2 linked regions of the Daphnia pulex genome follow. The protein of the gene in region 1 purifies or fractionates together with the protein of each later gene. This does not show direct contact. Links are inferred from orthologs where the notes say so. Each region holds a gene or a part of one and is shown in the gene's direction. Other genes may lie near its edges. The genes, in order: probable protein BRICK1-B and cytoplasmic FMR1-interacting protein-like.

Region 1 (2,515 bases):
TTGTTGCCAATGATTCCTAGCTAGTAGTTTATACAAAGTAACGGATAATCTGTTTTTATTTTGCTTTTGACGACGACGAAACGTGTGATAACGAGCATCACCTTGAACACGACTCGTAGACCGTGATAAGGAAAACAGCAACCGAATGCTTCCGGTGGCTTCCGACCGCAGAAAGCCCTTCTACCTTATTGCGTCTAAACTTCTTCCCAACTCAGAGACTCGACTCATTTCCTATATAATATGTACGAGAGCGACTGTTGCTATTCGCCCTTTGCATTTCGGCACTCTAGGGGATTCGCGGTTTGTGATCATAAATGCACGTCAATGAGTGAAAACATATCAATATATACAATCCAAATCAACCACACACGATGTAGAATCTAATAATAATCAGAAAAAAGTGAGATAGTACCTTTCACTTGTGAGTCGAGTTCCCACAGAAACTCTTTGTCTTTGCGTGCCATTTTCTTGGCACTCTCTGGCGGGACGACCGTTTGTTGTTGGACAGCAGATGAGACCGGCGCCGAAATGTTGAGGACGATTTTGTTGGCCGACATTTCACACGTAATGAAGAGACTAGCAGCACACACGGCCAAAGATGGAGAGAGATGGGGAAGTCTCTCTGACGCCAACTTCTTACACGGCACAGCAGCACATACAGACGACACACTGGCAGAAGCTTTTTATTCTTTTCTCCTCTCTGATTTTTGTGTGTGGGGGAGTGAGATCAAACGCCCCACCCTGACATCTTGATAGAGAGTCCAACTTTTCGGTTACTTTTTTCTGTCGTGCCAAGAACGCCTCGTCGCTTTTCGAGTCAAACACTATAACGTCAAACGGAGAGATCGAAAAGAGGCGGCAAGTTGAACGAGACGGTTGAAAATCCAAACTAACGCAAGCAAGGCACATTTCACTTTGACTTACCCCTATCGCGTCGTCCCACCTCCACACACAATGCTCCTCCTTCCTTGCCCAGCTGCAGCCGTTCGGGCTCAATGGAGATTTTCAATAACAGGGCTACGCTCGCGTCACCTAGCGGCTGTACTCAGCAACATGCCTTCTGATTACTTTGTGTTTTAATCGTTTTCATAAAATCTAAAGGTGTTGGCCGGATTTTAATACTTGTTTTGAAAATTTTAAATTATTCTCGATTTATTAATTGTATTTTTCATCTGTTTTAATCGTATTTTCAATTTCCGTACGATTGCGATGGTGAAGCGTAGCTAATGGAGCTGATTTGACAGTTCACAACACAAACAAAGTTGGGAAAACATGTCGACGAAACAAACCCTTCAAAAACAAACCCAGCAAGATTGGGCCAACAGAGAATACATTGAAGTCATCACCAGCAGCATTAAAAAGATTACCGATTTTCTCAATTCTTTTGGTAGGACACTACAAACTGACAAATTTTAGTTTCATCGTAAAACCCGTTTCCTTGCACATGCCCACACAGATATGTCTTGCCGAGGACGACTAGCAGTGCTCAACGAAAAAATCACCAGACTAGAAAGAAAAATTGAATACTTGGAAGCCAGAGTAATATTTTTCAATATAAATGTGATCATGATTATTTAATTTACCATTTTCATCATTCGTCCATTGTAGGTAACGAAAGGCGACACCCTGACATGAAGCTTCCCAAAACACAGTACAAATTTGCCTTCCCTTTTACTCTAAGCCCTTTTTTTTACACATATTTGGTCGCATTAGTTGAATAGACAGTGCATCACTTGATGAATTGATTCATTATTACTGTAATGAAAAGACTCTTTAAAGATTCTTTGTATCACTCCTTCTTTGCACTTATTATAGTGTTAGGTTAACTACTACTGTGGAATGCAAAATACTTCTTGATTCTGGGAATGACAAAAATGTGCTACTATCGTGAAATCAAAACAAGTCCAACTTGTTTAGATTTTTTTTCAAAGTCCAAGAAACTGGTTTAATTTTCCACTCCTCTTATCATTAGGAACTACTCAAAATGCTAGTCATACATGGTCAACAAAGTGTTCCCCTTTCTACAAGATTCAAAGATCCCAGATAATTTTTTCACTCACTTCAATAACGAAAGCGAAATTGATGTTGGCCTTTAAAATGTCTCGCATGAATGACGTCTATACCTCAGAAGTGGTCCCTGTCATTTTCTGCGGTGCCCCACCAACGTACTCATTCAACCACAAATAGTTATTATGGAGCACACGATACTTTGGTCAGGAGAGGGAGACCAAAAAACTGGCGAATATCTAAGGCAGCGGAATACGCCGTGTGGTCAAAAAGTTGGAACGACGAAATATCGCCTGAACATGGATTGAGTTGTACTTTTTAACAGGTATCCTGGGAAGTAAACCCGTCGCGTCATTACGCAAGCTTCCAAACAAAGTATAAATCAGCGAAACAAAAGCGTTGGCCGTCAGCCGACTGACCGTGAATCGGCGTTGAAATGTGATTATGAGCGGAACGAGGGAGAAAGCGGAATTCGACCGATTGGGGACGAAACGCTTGCACACGCCTG
Region 2 (4,029 bases), on another chromosome or scaffold:
CGCACTATGCTAGAGTCGTTAATAGCTGACAAATCTGGTGGAAAGCGAACGCTACGTAAAGACATTGATGGATCATACCTTATGGCAATCGACCAATTTCATAAAAATTCTTTTTTCTGGAACTATTTGCTCAATTTCAACGGTATTTTATATTCAACCTTCGATTTTTACTGAACATACTTTTTCCTAACATTTGTTTTTCTTTTCTCGCAGAAACACTGCAACAATCGTGCGACCTTTCACAACTTTGGTATCGAGAATTTTATCTTGAGATGACAATGGGCAAAAGGATTCAGGTAAGAATATGAAGCTGTTTCTGATCTGGATTTCTGTCAGTGCGAAATTCGGTGGCTGGGAAAGGCTTGGCTCTTTGGTTTATGGAAAAATGGCAATGCAAGCACTTGCCAGTCTACTTTACTTTACCTGAAAGAGGTTGTAAGTAGTATGGCGTGTGCTAAATTTTATTATTCTTTTTCTCTGTCGCGTCTTTCTTTCCTTCGCTTTAAATATCGGTCATTGTCATGTCGAAAATTCAGAAATGTTGCGTGAAACATCAACACAACGAGGAGTGCAAAGACGTGGTCACACTGGAGAAAAGGATTCAGGTATAAGCTGTCACCTTGTTGAGAAACTTCCTCAGCATGATGTCGTATGCTTCTGACTTGAGTAGATATATGCTTGAATTAAACTAAGGTCCCAGCATGGCCTGCATGTACGCAAAATCGCTTGTTATTTAACAGTTAAATTTGTAGTCTTGTAGTTAAATTAAAAAAAATTTCAACATGATTTTACTACATGTTTTTTCGTCTCTTTCTTTTTAGTTTCCTATCGACATGTCGATGCCCTGGATCCTGACTGATCATATTTTGCGTACGAAGGAGCCTTCTATGATGGAGTGAGTTCAAACTCTAAATGCGATTTTTCTGTTAAATTTAAAGTTTGATGTTTGATTTGTGTTTACCAGGTGCGTACTTTTCCCCCTTGATCTCTATAACGATTCGGCTCATTATGCGCTGACCGTTTTCCGCAAACAGTTTTTGTACGACGAAGTTGAAGCTGAAGTCAATCTGTGTTTCGATCAGTTCGTCTATAAGCTGAGCGAACAAATTTTCGCCTACTACAAACACCTTGCTGGCAGGTAAGCATTGCACATTGATTGCTAAACATTGCTAACTTTTCGTTAATAACGTGCGTCCTAACATCCTTAGCATCATGCTGGACAAACGATTTCGTGCTGAGTGTGCCGCATTAGGTACGCGCTTTACCTACCCTCCTGCCAATCGTTACGAAACTCTGATGAAACAACGCCACGTTCAGTTGTTGGGACGTTCAATTGATTTAAATCGATTAATATCTCAAAGAGTTAACGCTGCACTTCTTAAGGCACTCGAGCTATCGGTTGCACGTTTTGAAGGTGGAGATATCACCGGTGTAGTAGTAAGTAATTAAAATGAGCAACTTTGTCCAATTGGATGTAACACAGTCTCAATGACAGGAATTAAGCGGTCTCCTAGACGTGAACCGATTAACTCACAAATTGTTGAGCAGTAACCTTGCGATGGATGATTTCGACGCTATGTGGAGAGAAGCCAATCATAACGTTCTGGCACCCTATGGCCGAGTGACGCTACACGTCTTCTGGGAACTCAACTACGATTTCTTACCCACTTATTGCTATAATGCCGCAACAGGGCGCTTCATCAAGTGCCGAGACCTACTTTTCAGTCAGCCTGTTCACCGAGATAAACCACCTCAAACGCCTTACCATTATCTTTGGGGCAGTAAGGCGCTCAACATCGCGAATGGAAACATCTTCAATCAATATTCCGGATTTGTGGGTGCACCACATTTTAAGGCTATTTCAAATCTTCTGGGTTACCAGGGCATCGCCGTAGTCATGGAAGAGATCCTCAAGATAATCAAATCGTTAGTACAGGGAAACATTTTACAATTCACCAAAACCCTAATGCAGGCGATGCCAAAACAGTGCAAAATGCCTCGTTACGATTACGGATCAACTGGTGTCTTAGGATATTATCAGGTAGAATTTAAATAGCTTCTCCTAACCGAGAAACAATTATTAATTATGTATTTTTTCTTATCTTTACAGGCCCAACTGAATGACATTGTTCAATACCCTGATGCGAGGACGGAATTATTTCATAATTTCCGAGAATTCGGGAACGCGCTGATATTTTGTCTTCTGATTGAACAAGCAATGTCACAGGAGGAAGTTTGCGATCTACTTCAGGCAGCGCCTTTTCAAAATATTCTTCCAAGGTATGTATTATTTTTCCTTTCCATCATTTATAGTAGCTTTAGCTCCCCCTAACGATTCCTTTCGTTTAATGGTTTTGATTGAAACGTACAGACCGTTCGTTAAAGAGGGCGAAAAATTGGAAGCCAAGCAGAAAAAACTGGAGAACAAGTATGCGGCATTGCAAATTGTCGCCAACATAGAAAAGCTGGGCACCGCCAAGCAAACCTTGATTGCACGGGAGGGAGATCTTTTAACCAGAGAACGTCTTTGCTGTGGTCTTTCTGTCTTCGAAATGGTGCTCAATCGCATCCGCACCTTTTTAGACGATCCAATTTGGACGGGTCCTGTTCCTGTCAATGGCGTCCTAACGGTCGACGAGTGTACAGAATTTCACCGACTATGGTCAGCTTTGCAGTTTGTGTATTGCATTCCTGTTGGCGAAAACGAATTTACCGTTGAACAGCTTTTCGGCGAAGGACTTCACTGGGCTGGATGCACTATGATTGCCTTGCTTGGACAACAACGAAGGTTTTGATCTTACTTTTTCAAAAATAATTTTTAAAACAGGGCTGCCTAATTGATTTTCCGTTCTGTCGTTAGATTCGAGGCACTGGATTTCTGTTATCATATTTTGCGCGTACAACGCGTCGATAACAAAGACGAAACTGTGAAGGGTATTCAACTAAAGCGATTGGTTGATCGAATTCGCCGCTTTCAAGTCTTGAATTCACAAGTCTTCGCTACGCTAAACAAATATTTAAAAACGAGCTCGGGTGATGTAGATTCTCAACCGGTGGAGCATGTGCGTTGTTTTCAGCCTCCCATACATCACTCTCTTGCAGTGAATCAGGGTCATTATTATCGACCTGACCAACTACTTCGTCAGTCCATGAATGTAGCCAACACTTCTGGGATAATTGCAAACTTGACGCTAGAACAGCACTGAGCATTTTAATTCGTCTATACATTACTTGTTTTGTCTTATCTAATTTCATTCAGGTTACGAAATATTATGAAATCATTTCCCAATCACTTTACATCCTTTAAAGAAACCTTCATTGCAACGATGTTTTCACCATAATTTCTATATGCCTTAGATCAGTTAGACGTTGCCCGTTGCGATTGTATTAGTCCCGACTTCTTGAATACACCATTCACGTAAAGATGTTAAAATGTAGGTTATTCATCATTGTCTGAACTTACTTCCGACTCTGCTTCAGAAGCAGATTCAGCGTCAGAATCAGATGCTGCATCAGAATCAGATTCGGCTTCAGGTTCGGCAGCTTCGGCAGGTCCAGGCTCAGGTTCGGCAAGTCCCGCGAAAAAATCTCCTTTGTTCCGTCTCTTAGAAGACGGTAGCTGAAATCCTAATTTCTCTTTGCGTAACGAACGTTTTTTGTTGCGGACAGATTTCTTCGTGGTCGACTCCATCAACTTTAAATTGGGATCCTCAAAGTAGGAAATATTCCAAAACCGCACGCGTCCGTCGTGGGATGTAGATGCTATGTAGTGACCACACGTTGAAATGTCTAAACGCTCAATAGGAAATTTGTGGTGACCTACTACCCCCAAGAACCTATGTGGGAATAGACTAATGGCACGGATTTTCCCATCATCACAACCAGTAATAACGATGTTGTCCATGATGGGAATCATGCAGTTGATCGCTGATGGATGATCCCCAAATGCGTCACTGTGGTATCCAAATGCTTTCCAATCAAAGATGTACATGTTCCCGTTACCAAGGCCAGCAATGACCTTTGTTTCTT

The links.
Region 2: the proteins of probable protein BRICK1-B (region 1) and cytoplasmic FMR1-interacting protein-like purify together in Drosophila melanogaster (affinity purification with western blotting; 4 studies listed by BioGRID). This does not show direct contact. The link is inferred for Daphnia pulex from reciprocal best matches to the Drosophila melanogaster genes HSPC300 and Cyfip.

The regions. Positions count from the first base shown.
Region 1 is NC_060018.1:1,420,848-1,423,362, forward strand, and holds probable protein BRICK1-B, read left to right. Parts: upstream 1-1,250; 5' UTR 1,251-1,272; coding exon 1,273-1,387; intron 1,388-1,456; coding exon 1,457-1,539; intron 1,540-1,608; coding exon 1,609-1,635; 3' UTR 1,636-1,737; downstream 1,738-2,515. Other genes in the region: SLIT-ROBO Rho GTPase-activating protein 1-like, read right to left, coding at 413-557.
Region 2 is NC_060025.1:3,992,626-3,996,654, forward strand, and holds the end of cytoplasmic FMR1-interacting protein-like, read left to right. Parts: coding exon 1-142; intron 143-213; coding exon 214-296; intron 297-536; coding exon 537-605; intron 606-821; coding exon 822-895; intron 896-964; coding exon 965-1,138; intron 1,139-1,208; coding exon 1,209-1,437; intron 1,438-1,495; coding exon 1,496-2,041; intron 2,042-2,110; coding exon 2,111-2,280; intron 2,281-2,371; coding exon 2,372-2,788; intron 2,789-2,860; coding exon 2,861-3,206; 3' UTR 3,207-3,423; downstream 3,424-4,029. Other genes in the region: WD repeat-containing protein 55 homolog, read right to left, coding at 3,440-4,029. UniProt on the Drosophila melanogaster protein: Plays a role in guidance and morphology of central and peripheral axons and in synaptic morphology. Also required for formation of cell membrane protrusions and for bristle development.